Linked DNA regions of Rhinolophus ferrumequinum. The protein of the gene in region 2 interacts with the protein of the main gene of each other region in a biochemical or structural test. Links are inferred from orthologs where the notes say so. Each region holds a gene or a part of one and is shown on either strand. Other genes may lie near its edges.

Region 1 (8,855 bases), about 25 Mb from region 2:
TAGGGGAGAGGGAAAAAGCTAAGATACTTGAGTAGTTTGGTAAACCAAGCTATAGACTAGAAAGCTTCAGTGAAAAATTCTAGCTTGGATCATTGGAGAAAGCAATAAATTGGGGGGGGGGGGGAGAGGGAAGGGAGGCCCCAAATGAAGCACATGGAGAAAGTCCAATAGCTTCCTCTTCTCTATTCACTTGCTTTCCCCAGCACTAACCATGAGAAAACCATTCCATTGGGTTAAAATATGACTCTAAACATCCTTTAATGATGTAATCATACAAGCATTAACGTAATTATCAACCGTGTGAATGACTTCTCAGATATCATTTTTAGTTAAGAGCAGGATATTTAGGAAGTGGGATTTTTAAATATTAGGGTTTCATCCCCTCTTTGCAAAATTGCAAATGTAATACAGCATTGAAGAAATTTTTAAAAAATAAAGCAAAACAATATTCCGTAGTTTTCTTTTCCTTTTTTTTTTTTTTTGTCACAACTGCTTTCAAGTTCTCAAATCTCCTCTAAATCTTTTTTTTAAGGCACTAGAGTAGACCGGTTCAGAACTCTGGCTCTATGGTCAGAGAGGCCTAGGTCTGTTATTTATAAATCATGAAATCTTGCAACCTTCGGCAAGTTATTTAATCTCTCTAAGCCTTTCTTTCCTCAGTAATAACAGTTAAGATGAGGAACCATCTCACAGTGTTGTTGGGAGAACTAAATGACATTAATCCAAGCAAGGTGTTCAGTGCAGTGCCTGTCATGTGGTAGTCATTTTGCATTTGGTGTCTACCATTTTCATGGTTTCCTAAAGGTAGGCATGAGTGATTAAATGATGAACCTCATTTAGCTGCATCTGGTGATGTACAGGAAGTAGTCAAGATTGAGGACTGTCCTAGGAGACCAGGAACAGAAAGCTTCAGGGACCCCTGATATGAACATCATTCTTGGGCTTCCCCTTAAGAGTCAACAATAGCTTTGTAGCATAAATTAAAGACAAAGCACATTATGGGCCATTAAGAACTTTCAGTAATTGAAGACAGAGTGTGGATTTTCTGCAATGAATATTTAAAAGCCCTGTAATAAAGGAATCAAAAATTCTCAGCAGACTATCACATTTCATAAAAGAAAAAAATATCAGTACATAAAACAGAACAGGAACAGTAAAAAAATATGAATCAGAACAGAAAATGTGAAACAGAATGAAAATATGAAGTGAACCCTTAACCACACTTGATTCAGTTTCGCAAAATCCACGTGTGAAGGGATTTGAAGTCAATATGAAAATCACACAGTACAGCAGTTACAGTGATTGTTTTAACTGTGACTGTATAAAATACCTATAAGGTTTTCATTCTGTAAGGTGGATTTGGTCACCTCAGTTTTTTCTTTTGCTGTATTATAAAATTTAAGTCAAAAAATGCCTCTGGGTATCATCATGAGTAGTGGGGTGAATTTCAATAATGATTATAGTCACGATACTGGTACTCAGGGAGAGGCTGTGGAAGCATCGCTCCTCACTGCACAGCGGCCTAAAAGAAGTATGTTCTTGCCTCAATAGGCTACTCATTCCATAAGCACATTTGTAACTATAATGACTGGTGTGCATACACTTCCATACTTTTAAAATTTAACGTAATACATAAAAATTTATTATTATATGCTGTTGTCTAGTTTTATGAGCAGAAATTTCTTAAAGAATATTGTGTTAATTATCTTGCCTTGAAAACAGAGCAAGTGCAGATCATGAGATAGTTTAAAATGTTAAGTTTTAGAAGGCATTTTATGGGGTAAAAGAGGTATAGACCATATCCAGAGACAGGCTTCCTTCTTCAGATTTACTGTTTCTAAATTTTGCTTTGTTAAGTAAGATAACAGAGCATGTCCCTTCTTAAGAAATTTTTCTAAGAGTAAATAAGTCAGTTAAGCAGAGGCCTCTAGTTCTGTTTTGTTGTTTTTAGGAGGGATGGCTCCCAGCTCCCAGTTCTGATGACTCAATCAGGATAAAGGCCATTAAAATGCTAAACCTTGGTCTCATTTGGGCCAAGGTTTGGGATATGAAATCCTGCATGCTCAGCTGGCACCCTGATACTCATCTGTCCTTCTCAGCTTTCGCTCCAGCTAGACCCTCCAACAGGCGTCTGCAGATATTCCCCCTGCATCTGCAGAGTGTCCACTCTTCCACTTGGGGAAGACTTCCATACTGGGATGGAGGACTAGGAGAAAGATAGATAATCATGTTGCTTCCTATGCTGCTTAGTTAGCTCTTTAAAATCCAAGAATTAACTTTAAGAGCCTGGGTTCTGAATTTGGTTTGCTCACACAAGTGTGTTAGGTCATGGAGGGGAAGAATATGAGATTTCTACAACAGAAACAGCTTATCTTTCCCATGAGCTCTGCAGCAGGTCTAGACCTTACAATTATTATCCCCAATTCACAGATGAGGAAACTGAGGTTTAGAGAGTTAAATAATTTACCTGAAGTCACACAGTAAATAAGTAGCAGGGACAACACTGGAATATAAACTTTACCACGTCCTGCTACACTGGCCTTGAATACATGCGCCTATGTAGCAAAGCCATTGTCAGAGCCCCTCATATCCAGGGGCAAGAAGTAGAGACCAGGGGAAGAGAACAGCTGTGGTGCTTCGCATTCATTCTATTACATCCTTTCTGGGCTCCACGCCCCACCTAATCCATTCATGATTAAGTATCTATGACTCTTTACTTTGCTATTTCTTGTCCAGCTTTCTTGTCTAGCTTCTTCTTAGGAGCTGCCTCCATTTTGACCTTTGACTCTCTCTTTCTGCCCTTCCCTCTGTCTCATTTCCATCAGCCCTTTGAGATCTCTAACTCCCGGGCCAACTCTAGCCACTGGCCCAGCCAGGTCTGTGATTGCTGCCTTGCTGGCTTTTGCAGCTGCCAGTATTCTACGAAGACCCATCCTGAGCCTGCCCTAAGCGTGGTCTTGCTGTCCTTGTCCTGAATTTCACATTGAAGCCCCACAGGCCCTGATACTTGCACTGTCTGTTCTCAGAAATCTCTTGTAGGACCTTAAATACTTGACCAAACTACTGCTCAGCTCTAATTCTTCCTCTAAGGATTTATGTGTGTGTGACAGCTTGTACTACCATCCAAACACCTGAGGGTTCAAGTTTGACTTTATGCTAATGAATTTTTTTCTAATTTCAGAAGTATATGTAGCCAAGGGCTCATGGAGTCAGAAAAATATGAATTAGAACCACAGAGGTTTCACTCAGTACTTGTATCAGGTAGGACAATTCAGTTTTGGTGAAACGTAGTTTTCTTATCTATAAAATAGTGTATTACAGGTTACTTGTATAGTGGATGGCATGACATGCAGCTCAGATCTCAGAACAGCATAGCGGTCTCGCCCCAGTTGCTGGATGCTTTGGTGACTAACAACTCTCAGCTGAGTCCTTCTTCAGCAGCTGCCCTCAGACAGTTCCTTCCATGAGGGCCACCCACATCTAATGACTGGTAAGCTGGTTAATGAAAGGATATAAAAGTCCAGTCACTTTGCCTCAACTAGGAGCAACCCTTAACGGGTATCACAGTTCCAGAGCTCCTTGTGGAGTCAGCTAGGCCTTTGTTGCAACTGTATTGGGTACAACTTCTCCCTCTGCTCAATCCTACATGTTTTACTTCCCACAGGCATTGATTCTACAAGTACTTCCCAGTGAACTTCCTGCACATGCATCTTCATCTCAGAGTCTATCTTGGGGGGAATCTGACCTGAGAGATCTCATGTATTTTTTTGAGGGTTAAAGCAACATAGTGTATATAAAGTACAGTATATGATATAGCCTGGGCAGTCAGTATTTTCTAGTTCCCTTCTCTTCCTTGTTGTTTTGTCTTTCATTCATTCCTAAGAATACCGGACCTACTAAACCTAGGCCTCTGACAGGAGGCAATGTTCCTCCTCCCACCTGATCAAAACTTTTCACATACAAGTAGTTAAATATATCCTAGGATAGTTGTTCATTCTATTGATAGGATTCACCAAAAGTTTTAAGCAGGTAAGTGACCTGATCAAATTTCTTCTTTAGAAAGATTATTTTGGGGGCAGCTCGTTGGCTCAGTTGGTTAGAGCGCGGTGCTCATAACACCAACATCATAAATTCGATTCCCACCTGTGCCAGTGAACTGCACCCTCTACAACCAGGATGAGAACAATAGCTTGACTTGGAGCTGAGCTGCCCATGGGCAGCCGGTTGGCTCAGTTGGTTAGATGTGTGAGCTCTTAACACAAGGTTGCTGGTTTGTTTCCCACATGGGCCAGTGAGCTGCGCCCTCCACACCTAGATTGAAAACAACGGCTTGACTTGGAGCTGATAGGTCCTGGAAAAACAAACTGTTCCCCAAAAAAAGATTATTTTGGCCACATTGTGGGAGAGATTTAGGTAAAACTAGAGGCTGGGAGATGATTAGAAGAAATGATAGTCTCCACTGAGGAAGTGGTAATTAGGTGGGAGAGAAAGAGATCCATTGAAGACTTATTTCATATGTGGATTTGGCAGCGTTTTGCAACTGATTGGATGTGCGGTATGAAGGAGAGAGGCCTATATACAAAGGCCTTTGGACTTATGGTATAGCCTCCAGGCATATAGCAATGCCATTCTCTGTGATAGGAAGTATAGGAGGTAGAGAAATTTGAAACAAAATTGGGAGCAAGGGTGTGAGATTAGTTTTTGGTTTTGGAATATGTTTATTTGGCATATTTATGGTACATCCAGATGGAGATTTCCAAGTACTACTTGATTATATAGAGCTGAATTTCAGACAAGTGGTATAATCTGGAGAAAATGAAAAACAAAAAAATCTTAGAAGCCACCTCTCTAACTCCCTCATCTCACCCTCAGAAAGCTGAGACTTAGAGGTTAACACCTCTGAGGGAATTGCCAGAGGCTACCTGAAACAGTTTTTGTGAAGCCATGACCAGAAACCAGGTCTCTTGGGTTTTAGGTCAGTATACCTATCCCTTGACTGACTTTCATTTTGCTCTATTTATATTCATGTTTCCCCAATCTAACAATACCTGACATACAGTAGGTGTTAAAAATGTTTGTGGAATGAACATACAAATTACAACCATTCTTTGAGGTAGGGCTGTCCTCTCCTCTCTACATCATCACTGAAATTATATCTCCGCAGCATCTTGGAAATCATCAGACCCAGAGAAGTACTGTTTAGCCTCCAAATTTGCATTTACTCAGGTATTTCCCAATACCTCTCTACATACTCTGACAGCAAAACGTCTGTTGTGCAGATCTCATCCAAGGGCAGTCTTTGTGCTGAGTCCACACACCTGAATGGGAAGATTAATAAAAGCAAGAAGAATAGAAAGAAGGTATTATTTAGGACACAGAGATCATATAATCAATTCCTTCTTATTTTACTCTTGAGAAGCTTAGGTTAAGAGGTCTCTAAACCTAATTTGACTGTCTTGATTCAGTCAAATTAAAGTCCTAAGCCTAGGAGAAAGGGGGGACAGTATAAGACAGAAGAAGCCAACTAATACTTATTGAGTATTTACTGCATACCAGACCTTGTGCTGGATGATTTACTGAGGCTATTTTATTTAATCCTGATTGAAAACATCATCCACTTTTTCATTACGCTAAGTGAAACAAGTCAGACAAAGAAGACCAATACCATATGATCTCACTTACATGTGGAATCTAAAGAATAGAATAAATAAGCAAACTAATCAGAAACAGTCTTAGAGATATAGAGAAAAAACTGAGGGTTGCTAGATGTGGGGGGGATGAGGGAGAAGCTGAGGGGATTAGGAAGCACCAATTGGTAACCTCAAGATGGCCACGGGGATATGAAAAACAGTTTGGGGAATATAATCGATAATGTAAAGATTTTGTAGGGTGTCAGATGGCACATGTCTTATTAGAGAGACCACTTCATGGATGGTGTAGGTGCCTGACGACTGCAATGTACACCTGAAGATGAAGCCGAATAATAATGAATATATATATATCACAGGATGTGGAGTATGGCATAGGGAATAGAGTCAATGGAATCGTAAGCACTATATATGATGTCAGAGGGGTAGTAGATTGGGGGAGTGGGGCTATCACTTTGTGAGGGGTGTAGATGTCTAACTATTACATTGTTTTGTGCACCTGAAACAGAAAAGAAAAAAGATCATCCACTTCTTTCATATGGAAAACTGAGACTAGACAGTTTACTTTTCTAAAACTGGTAATTGGTGGGTTTGAAACTCAAGCTCAAGACTGTCTGGCTCCAAAGATTATTCTCTTTCCCTTATATCATGCAGCCTTCCAGAGGTTTCCATTGTGGTTCCAGATGTTAGGTATAAGCTTGAAGACCAAATATGCTCATTCCAGTGCTTAATATGGGTGCCAACAAGCCCTTCGATGTTGTCATCTTAGCAGGCCATTCAAAATTCAGTGGTCTAGGGTTTGCAAGAATCCAGGAGACCACATGGTCAAGCCTCAGAGAGGTTATCAGCAAGTCCCAAAGGAAGGAGAAAGCATCTTTGACTTCCAGCCTCAAGTCTGCTGGGAATTTGTTACGTGTACTTGGGCATGTCACTTTCCTTTCTTGGTCTTCCAAGATTGAAAAAAATATGGGTATCATCATTATTGCCACCCTTATAGAGTTCCAGAGTGCCTGAAGGCAAACCACTTATGAGTGCAGATCAAATAATAGTGCTTGGTCTCCGAAAATCAAGTTTTAATGCTATTAGGTTTTTGCAAAAGTAATTGGTTTTTGCAATTATTTTTAACCTTTTAAACCACAACTACTTTTGCACCAAACTAATATTGATACAGCTAATTCTATAATAGGATATGAAGTTGTAAGAAAAACTGACAAAATGATGGAGGGGTATGTGCGAAAGAAAAAAATAAGTACCAGAAAAAATAATAAAATAGAAAAAAAAAGAAAAAAAAATATGGGGAAATGCCAATTTTTGTGGGCTTCCCTGCTGATGATTTCCAAACTTTCTCTGTAATAATCATCTCTATTACATAGGGGATGGAAAGAGGTTATATATGGGGGAGGGAGAAAGACTCATCCCTAAGAAGTGGTTTCGGGGCTTTGGAGAAGCAACAATTGGTTTGAATCTTGACACATGAGTAGGAGTTTGTTAGGCAGACAAGGAGAAGGAGGGATGATTCCAGGAAGTGCAAAAGCTTGAGCAAAAGCACTGGGTGAGTTTGGGGAACTGCAAGTAGTTCAGGAAGGTTGCAGCATTTGCTTCAAGGGAGGGGCCAACCTAGAAATTAGGCAGGAAAAATCCACAGAAGCTGAGTCACACAGGGATCAGTAGTAGCCCTCAGGCCATCTAAGGAGCCCACCTTTGAAGATTCTAAGCATGGAAATGTCACAAACCTGTATTTGAAAAAAGATCCTTCTGCTCTGTATTCCTGCCCTCTGCAGGAGTATAGCACAACGGAGAAAGGTTGCCTGGGAACTGGAATGGAAAGATATTTGTGGTTCAGAACCCTGCAGAGCCACAGCCAACCTATAGCCTCTACTTATTACCGTGTTTCCCCGAAAATAAGACCTAGCTGGACCATCAGCTCTAATGTGTCTTTTGGAGCAAAAATCAATTTAAGACCCGGTCTTATTTTAATATAAGACCGGGTCTTATATAATATAAGACCAGGTGTTATATAATATAAGACTGACCAGGTGTTATATAATATAAGACTGGGTCTCATATTGATATTTGCTCCAAAAGACGCATTAGAGCTGATGGTCCAACTAGGTCTTATTTTCGGGGAAACACGGTAATAAGTAGAGGCTGTAGGTAGTTATTCATGGAAACTTTCTTCTCTTCTTGATTGATTCAACAGAAAACTAAGAAGAGAACTGTTATCTACCAACCTCAGAAAGCTGCAAATTTGATCAATTGCCTCTAGTTGTTTTTGACAAATATCCTCAGGGAAAAGGCTTTCACACTGTGTGATTTCCACTCATCCAATAAAGAAAGGCTTGCAAGTGGGGTCCTTCACGTAACCACTACATACACAGTTCTCTGGGAATGAGGTTTTAAAGGAGCCTCAACCCCTTCTTACCCCTCCAGTGTCTGCCAGGCTGTTGGTTTTCACCATGATTGTAGGCTGTGGGTTTTAAATGCAAGAGAGAGGCTAGAGAACGTGGGATGGGACTAGGGCAAGATAAAATGCCACAAAGCTCACTGTTCTTACTGGGATTCAGACATTTTTCTTAAATAAACACTCCCTGAATTGCTGTAAGCCTTTGGTTAATTTCTAGAATTCTGGAAAAGCTGATTCTGCTTTTTTTGTTTTCATTTGTTTGTTTGTTTGTTTTTTAGTTTTCTCATTGCTTTTATAGATGAGAGGTCCTTATTTTGCCATTTTTGCTACCATTTACTGTGTGTGTGTAAAATTCTCTTTGTTGAGTTAAGGGAATTCTCACCTATTAGGTTGATTAAAATAATTGTCATAATTTTTCTACATTTTTCTTACTTATTGAAGTGATTGTATGCTTCCCCCCTTTAATTAGCCAATGTAATTAGTTACATAAATAGATTTTTAAAACCTAAACTATCTGTGCATTCCTGGGATAAACCCTATGATAATCTTATTATGTTAATGAATTCAGTTTGGTAATATTTTATTTAGAATTTCTGTCCTCAAGTGAGGTTGGTCCATAACATAGGGAACTAAAAGAAGAATAGCCATCATTTAGACACTGAAGTGAGGTGTATCCATGGCATGACTTCTATGTGCAAGAGTTGGCTATAACTTTTAGATGGTTCCTACTGGGGAGTAGGTAAATCTATTTGAGGCTACATGCAGTAAATCAGAATTAGAAATAGATAAGTTTTAGAGACCTT
Region 2 (8,855 bases):
TTGCATTTTGGTTGATCACTTGGTTTTTTGAAACCCAACTACCATATAGCTTATGTTAGATTCTTAAATAAGTGACTTTATTTTTACCAGAGATACCAAAATTAAATCAAAATGGGCTACATGAGATGAAATGTGCAACCTAAAACTATAAAATGCTAGGAAAAAATAGGAGAAAATCTCTGTGGATTGAGCTAGACAAGGAGTTACTAGATACCACCCTAAAATCATGATCCATAAGAGAAAAAAAGTGATGAATTGGGCTTCACTAAAACTGAGAACCTCTGTTCTTTGCAATATACTATTAAGAGGATGAAAAGACAAGTCACAAAATAGGACACAATATTTGCGAACCATCTGTCATGAAGAACTTGCATCCAAACTATGTAATGAACCACCGAGACTCAGTAAGAAAATAAATGATAAGAAAATGAAACTCTTCAATGGGCACTTTGAACGGACACTTCATCAGAGAACATATATGGATGGGAAACTACCACCTGAGAAAAATGCTCATTATTGTTAGTCATTCACAAGACGTGAATTAAAGCCATAGCGCGACTCCGTCGCACACATGTTAATGTGGCTAAAATTAAAAGAACGGGCCCTGGCGGTGTCTGTGAGGGGGTGGGGCCATCAGAACCTGTGTCACGCTGGTGGGAATGGCCGTCGCTTTGGAAAACAGATGGATTGTTTCTTAAAAGTATCAGCCTGCACGGACCCTGTGACTGAGCCCTAGTTATGTGCCCAGGGGAAATTAAAACACATCCCCAAGACCCTGCCAGAGACGTCGGTCGCGGCTTTAGCTGTGATGGCTGTGGGTGAGGAAAGGAATCGTGACGTGTCTCTGGAACGGGACTCTGCTCACTCGGCAGGATCCCAAGACAGTGACTCTGGGCGAAAGCACTCAGAGAGGACCGTCTTTGGTGGTCCAGTTGTGTCGCACGCTGGGCTTCCGTGACGCTGCGTCTGTGTGTAGTGCCCAGAAGCTGATGACAGCAGCTGGGGTGGGAAGGGCCTCGGGAGGTTCGGGGGGCCGTGCGCGTCCAGTGTCTTGGCCGCGGGGATGGCTTCACGGGTGCAGACAAATGTCAAAATCCACCCCAGTACACTTTCTGCCTTAGGTCAGTGATAGCTCTGAAAAGCTGTGACCATCATCGTGACATAAAACGGTATGTGGATGGAGGGATTTTTGCCCTAATACACAAACCGAGTTTAAGTGCATTTTGCACGTACGGCGCTTGCAGTTTCCGTGGTTGGTCTCTGGCCTTAGAGAGAGCAAAGGCTTCCTGTAGCTGCTCTTTGGTCCTGGCCTGATAAGCAGTGTGGGAGTGGCCACCGTGGAAGACAGCTCCGGGGGCGACAACAAGGAAGGCAGTCCACTAATAATTCAGTCATTTCTAAGGTTTCTACTGCTTGCTGTGTTGAAATGCCTCCGTTTTTGGTTGTCGTCTGGAAATCTTCTCCCATTTCAGCCATGAGACAAACACAGGGCTGATCAGGACCGTTTTTACCTCTTCAGCGTTACGTTTTCCGTTGACATTTGAAAAGGCTAGAATACAGATCTTCTGAGTTTCTCTTTGCAACAGGCGTGTGTAGCCTGGTGAACAGAGGTGAACGGTGGGGTCAGCGGCGCCATCCGGGGTCTGTGAGCTCCGGTCAGGAACAGCCTGTACGTTACCGCACGTCTCACGCAGTGACCAGCGTTGGAGGGAAACTTGTTTATGCTCAAGTTGCAGCGTGATTTTAACCAAACTTCAAAGGTCAGTTGAAGGACATGGAAATGAGTCTGTCGTGATGTCAGGCCTGTGTCTGCCTGTTTCTGGGCCGCCACAGTGGGGAACCCAAGTCAGTGAAGGACGTTCCAAGGCCTCTGACTCTGGCCTTCTCACGGACCTTAACTGGCTTGGGCCTCGTGCAGCCTTTTATTGTGCTAGTTTGTCAATGTGGGCAAAGTGTTAAAACAGCCAGGATTTTATCCTAAGGAGCGAGTCGGGCAAAGTTTCAGAGATGTGCGTGTGAAAATGCTAATATTCTCAAGTTCCCTTGGGTCCGTTGGAAATAACCCGAGGGAATGATTATGTGTAAGTTATGATATACCCTGTCAGTAAAACACTGAGCGTTGAGACAGAATGAAGTGTCGGCTGTCTAAAACCCTGAAAGGAGCAGGTTGCAAACGGTCGTGTTGAATGAACACTTACCTACACGTTTTCTTCTGTGTGTACCCTCATGGAGAGGGGTCTGCAGACGTGTGTGTGCCCAGACCAGACACACTCATTTCTCAGTACTGAAAACTCAGGTCATTCTGCTTTCTTTTTCACACTTTTCTCCACATTGGAGTTTTAGAAACAACCAAAAAGTCTGAATTATTTTTTTCCTTTCTGAACTCGAGTCCAAAGATCTCAGAATCTGAAAGCAGGAACTCCCAGCGTCTCTCCCTCTCGTCCTTTTCATTGCCGTTGTCCCCTCAGTGAGGCCACGTGCCAAGTCGGCTCAGGTGGGGTTCTCCTCACTGCAGCTTTCCCGTGGCTGTGGAAAGCTTGTCACCACAGCCCGTTCCTCACCAGCTCCTGCCATCACCTGCCTTCAGTACATTCTCCAAATCAGATTCGCGTGCCTAGAACTCAGCACCAGTCTTGACACGTCCCTGCTCAGAAACCAGCCAGGTTTCCCCGTTGTCTACGGAATCCTCCTGTTAAGCCGCCATAATAATATCCCAAATCTACTTTTCCCAAAGTGGGTTTCCAAACGACCTTCCCAGGACCCTGCATGAGTCGCCTGTGCCTTAAAGTACCCGTCTTCTAGACCCATCCCTGCGTTGCCCCCTAGAGTCCCATGCACCCCGTTTCCAGGTCACCGAATCTTACCCAGTCAAGCCCCAGCTCATCACACCTCCTCTGGAGGCTTTTCTGCTCATCTCTGTCCTTGAATTTGAACACAACTGTCTATTTTGGAATTTATACTTGACCTCGCTCTGTTTATTTAGAACATGTCGGACTCTCCTTAGACTCTGCCCAGGCCCTAGCCCAGGGTTGGAATAGGCAGTAGAATTCACTGCATTTTTTTTTTTTTTTTTTTTTTTAATTTATTGGGGTGACAATTGTTAGTAGAATTACAAAGATTTCAGTTGTGCAATTCTGAATCACATCATCCATAAATCACACTGTGTGTTCACCACCCAGAGTCAGCTCCCCTTCCATCACCGTCACTGCATTTTTATAAACATTTTTTGAAATTACAAAAGTAACACATGCACGTAAAACATTCAAACAGTGGAAAGAAGTCATCACATGAAAAGAATAACCCCATACCCTTTTCCCTACTCACTCCTCCTAGATGTCCCAGCTGTAACCACGATGATAAGTTATATACCGTCTAGAAATTTTATATGCATATTCAAGGAGAGAGGCATCCTTTTTTAAAAAAAAACAAACACACAAATGGAATCATACTTTGCATCCTGCCTTTTTTCACATAACAATAGATCAGGCGGTTTTCTCATACCGGGTATGGATTTATCCAGTCTTGTCAGTGTCGATTTGCACATACTTGTGTGATCCTAACCTGGAGAGAATCGGGAGGGTGTCTGGGAGGGGACCCCACTCCCTGTCATCATAAGAGCCCTGCAGGAACACTATGCTGACCAGGGACCTGTGGTTCTGGCCCCTCTCCTGAGTGTCCTGTCCCCCGAGTGTCCCCTTTGTAAAGACCTTTTCCATCTCCCCAGCAGAAACCTCACCTGACTGTCCATGTCAACATGCACCGGGCTGCAATCCTTTCTTTTTCCTGAATAAATCCTTTTTATTGATGGAATACCTACTGGATTTTGGTTTGCAGTGGACACTAACTAGGAGATAGGTTTTTATTAGTGAAATTTGGGGCCAAAGGTTTGATCCAGGCATTTTATGCTTTTGCCATGTAACCACGGAGTTGCTGTCCCCACTCTGACTTCCTCGGGCATTTCCATAGTTTTGATTCTTGCCCATTGAGCGTAAAAAGGGTGTCCTGTTATTCTGTTCATTTGTACTTCTTTACTTATAAGCGAGATCTGGCAATTTCTCATGTCTTCTCCACACTTCTGTTTCAGATAATTGCCTCCTCTTATACTTTACCTAATTTTCTACTGATTTTTTTAAAACTCTAATTAATAAACTCTAAACTAATAATTTTCCTGACAGGGAACCATCCTTGATGTCTTAGATTGGACCATACTTGAATGTATTTTACATGTTACTGGCTTCAATTTGATTAGTAGGTTATTGAAAACTGATACTAAATGAAATTGAAATTGGTCTGTAGTTATCGTTTGTGCATCTGTCCTTTTGGCAAAAAAATGTTTTACCTTCATACATAGAAACTGGAAATAAATCGGTAAAACAGAAGACAGACAACCAAAGCTAAAAGAGGGGAAGGGATGTGATTGCACAAATCTCAAAAGAAGAATTACCCTCTTTTGAGTAAGAAAATTTGATGAAATCACTGTCAGTATTACCCATAGCTTGAAAATGCAAACTGCTAGCACCTTAGGGCTGCATTTCTCATGCCTGTGTTGCAGCGTATAAAGAGGGGGTGCCCTCCACCCCCACCTGTGCTGTCACTTCTGTCCTCCTAACTCCCTCGTCCTGAGAAACACTGGAGCATGCATGCATGCACTGGGTTTTCATTCCTATAACGAACAGAAGAAGTTCAGTGGTCCCCCCAATGTGGAGAGTACTGAAAGGTATTAGGCCCCACTGACACCTCTGGGGTGCTATTTCTCAGGCTGATCAGGTGCCTTCACGGGGCCCTGGGCTGACTCTGGCCTGGAACTTCACCCTGAAGTCAGCCAGACTCTGGAACCGCCGGGTGAATCTGAACACAAACAAACTGAGTGAGAAACCCACGTCTCTGTTTCTCCATCTGTACACGGTGCTGGCCTATGCTGCTTCGGCAGACAAGATGGGTGAGAGGGAACGGCGTAAGCCACAGCCCTTTACCAATCTAGCAGAATTGAACTGTTATTAGCATTTGAAGGATTGCAAGTGGAGCCCACAGAATCCGTGTAAAAACTTGGTCTCTCAGGTAGACTTTTCACAAAGGACCCCTGGCCTTTTTCTTAACCAAATAAACAGACTCTGCAGGAGAGCACCTTGGTTGCAAGGCTAACTAGGGGTGTCCCCTCACCTCCCAGGCTTCCTGCAGGTTCCCTAGCACCCCACTTCTGCGGCCGCACACAGTCTGCTCGTGTGGCCGTGGCACCAGGGAGAGCAGGGCGTGCTGAGGATGAGGACAGTCGCGATCCTCCCCGCTGTCTTGGGTCCCCCCTTGTCTCCCTCTGCTCGCAGGGCTGCAACGTCAGAGTGAAATATGGCTTCCTTTCTGTTTGGTTATCGTTACTACCCTCATGTAAGGTTTGAAATGTGTGGTAGGCGAGGCTACTCACCAGACGCAGAGGCACAGAGCCCCGGGCACCGACTCGCTGTCCCGTAACAGGAAATTGCCGTCCACCCCTTCCCTGAGCAGCAAACTCTCACAGTCAGTCTTGGACAGAGGGCCGTGGTAGTAAGGCAGATCCATGGGGACGCGCCCTGTGGCCCTAGGACTCAGGCCAGAGTCAGGGGTGGCTCTGAGGAGAGACGCAGAGGCAGCTGGCCAAATGGAGATACCCCTTCCTGCTCCAGCCAGTGGGCGTGACTTGAGGCTGGTCTGTGGACTCCACGCATTTCGCAAGAGCAGGAAATGCGAAGGGTGGAGGTGGTATGTGACCAAGCCATTTTGGCTGTACTCGGCCGAAGTGTGACTTATACCTGTGGGCGACAGTGTGCTTGAGACTCTAGAGAACATGGGGCTCCCCTGGGGCTGCCATGGAGCAGTCACGCTCCCCAGAGCCTGCTGCAGCACCCGAAGTCACCAGGCGTCACCTGCTCTGGCTCCTGGTGGCCCTTCCGGGAACACAGCACTGCTCATGCTCTAAAGAATGCCATTTTCTGCTGGAGTTGTTGGTCTGTGCTCAGCTTAGAACGGGCGCTCAGAAAGTGTTCAGAGGCTGCGAGGGCCCAGGTACGTGCAGACTCACTGGGACAGAAAAGGCTAGGACTCCCACGGGTCAAAGGTCACGAGGAATGGAAGACATCAGTGGGGGAGGACGCAGTGGGACTCCATGGGGCGACGGCCCACCCCTGCCTCAGGCTCCTTGCCACAGGTGAACAAGGCCAGTTTCAGCATCCTCAGCTTTGCGTTTTGGGGACAAGTAGCAGGCGCAGGTGGGAGGGACACGTGGGTGTGCAAAGCAGTGACGTGTCCCCATGAAGAGAGACCAGGAAGCATCATCCGGCCAGAGACACTTGACCCCCTTTAGACACACTGCTGTTGATGAGGAAATCTCTTTCCACCTTGATCGGCTGATACCGTGGGAAAGCTGGATCCTGTTACCTGAGGGTCAGAGCGGCCCTGAGGGCAATTTCTCAGGCCTTCCCCCAGCTTGGCTGAGACCTAATCGACATATAAGGTTGTGTAGTTCAAGGCGTACGACCTGATAACTCGATCTCCCACCACAGGCCAGTGAACACTCCATCACGTCCCGTAATTGCCATTTCGTTCTGTGGGGGGGCACACGGAGTCCTACCCACTTGGCAACTCTCAAGCAGCAGGGCAGTGCTGACTAGTCGCCATGCAGGACACGACATCCCCGCGCGTTCTCGTTTGGCCACAGGAGCTTATGCCCTTTCACCCCCATCTCCCCATTTCCTTTGAGCAACCAAACCATCCCACAGATGATTGAGTCATTAATCAATGGTTAAGTAATTTCACATAAATAAGCCATGTAAGCGTATCTGTAATCCAGTGTCAACTGGTATAAACGGAATGGAATTTCTCTTCCTGTCCTGCTGCCTTAGTCACATATCTGTGGGAGTGGCTCCGTATCTCAGGTACGTCCCATGGCAATTCAAACCTGTGTTCACGGCCCTTCCTTACTTTAGCCGAGGCGACGGTGTCAGCTGTCCTGATCGCCACCGTGAGGTCTGGCTGCCACTGGACTTCCTTGCAGCCCACACACTTGTGTTCTCCAGGGGAAGTCCCCCTGCTCTGCCGTTGGTGTCATGGAGCGGCATGCAGTGACACAATCAAGAGAGATACTTTCAAATCCCAATTTCTCTCGAGCAGCCTGGGGCAATTTGCTACCTAATTTCTCGGGAATAAAGACAGTCAAGGAGAGAACGTTTAATGCTGAAAGAGGAAACTTGCTTGAGTACCAAGCTTGGTGTAAGGCTACTAGTTACAGAAAGGAGGAAGTAATTGGGAGTCTGTTCATTATCACAGGGGTTTTCCTGCCTTTTTATACATTTAAAAACCTACCCGCCTCTCCTCACTCATCATGAGTGACGCACGTTGATTCCACTCTGAGATAACATCTCTCACCTACACATTGGTGAAAATCAAGTTTGGACACAGTGGGTTGGCCATGCTGGGGTGAACTAGGGTAATAACGTCTCATGCATCATTGATTGGAGTGTAAAATGGTGACACTGGGAAGGAGGACAGTCTAGCAAAGTGACATGTGTTTACTCACTGACAGAACCCTCTCAAGTCCGTGTTGTAACACCTCCTGAAAGGAATAATTCGGGCAAAAACAGTCAGTGGGTGAAAACTTTAGGCAAGTTTGATAATGACCTTTACCAGTGAGAGGTCAAACTGTCACCACCTGAACCCACTGATCAGACTTAGCCTGTCCCAGAGGGGGACAGCCAGACTTGGATGCAGCAGGAAGCACAGAGGATCCCTCTGAGGTGGGCCCCAAACAGCAGGACCAGAAATGAGTCAAGGCTGTATCACTAAGTCTTATGGGACTGTCACGAGACAGACACATCCAGGTCTGGGACATTCCGTAGGACGTGTGTCAGCTGGTACTCAAATCTCACTGTTCTAGAGACACACCTTGAAATAGTAACGTCCCAGATGGAACGTTCTGGGAGGCCAAGGGTAGGCCCTGACCTGAGATGGGCTAATCAGAGACCCTTACCGAGGAATTGGAAGGAAATGAGGAAAAGAAGAAAGAGAGGGCACAGAGGACTGACTGGGGTGGGAGGAGGAAATATGAATGGAGATGAGTTCTCTAGGAATGCCTGTAAATAGGTGTATTTTTGTGCTGTGAACTGGTGGCCATAACCTGCCCAACAGCCTGTAGAAGGGAGAGAACTTGTCCATAAAATGAAGAATGCAGGTGACTCATGGAGAGAAACGTCAGGAAACAGCCTGCTAAGGCCACCTACAGAGTGGGCGAGCTGTTCTGCAAACCACATTTGATATCCACATGTGAGGTTAATATCCACATGTGTAAAGACACACCACTCGCTAGCAAAACAACCCCAAAGAATCCAATTTTAAAATGGGGAAAGCACCTGAATAGACATATTTGCAAACAAGATATACAGATTGACAACAGACAGACAGAAACCTGCTCAATGACCTTGGGTCTCAGGGACATGCAAGTGAAAAAAACCACAGTGAGGTGTCATCTCACATGTTCAGAATGGTTGTCCTTAAAAAGACAGAAGATAACAAGTGCCGGAGAGGCTGTGGAGAAAAAGGAATCCTGTGCACTGTTGGTGGCAATGTAAATTGGTATAGAGGTTCCTCAAAAAATTAAAAATAGAGCAATTCCGCTTCTGGGTATTTACCCGAAAAAACCCATGACAGTGATTTGAAAATATATATTTACATCCATCCTCCCATGGAGATACAAAAAAAAACCCAAAGAACAAAAAACGAAAAAATAAATGAAAGAAAGTGTCTGGGGATACCAAGAAAAGGACGCAATCCCGCCCAGCACACGCGCACACACACGCATGCACACGCACACACTCACATGCATACACACG

The links.
Region 1: the proteins of SH2D1B (region 2) and SLAMF1 interact in a test that uses a peptide from one of them, tested with the Homo sapiens proteins (2 studies listed by BioGRID). The link is inferred for Rhinolophus ferrumequinum from reciprocal best matches to the Homo sapiens genes SH2D1B and SLAMF1.

Annotation. Positions count from the first base shown.
Region 1 is NC_046305.1:27,930,353-27,939,207, reverse strand, and holds the start of SLAMF1 (signaling lymphocytic activation molecule), read right to left. Parts: upstream 5,296-8,855; 5' UTR 5,253-5,295; intron 1-5,252.
Region 2 is NC_046305.1:2,821,679-2,830,533, forward strand, and holds the start of SH2D1B (SH2 domain-containing protein 1B), read right to left. Parts: upstream 5,631-8,855; 5' UTR 5,554-5,630; coding exon 5,420-5,553; intron 1-5,419. UniProt on the Homo sapiens protein: Cytoplasmic adapter regulating receptors of the signaling lymphocytic activation molecule (SLAM) family such as CD84, SLAMF1, LY9 and CD244. In SLAM signaling seems to cooperate with SH2D1A/SAP.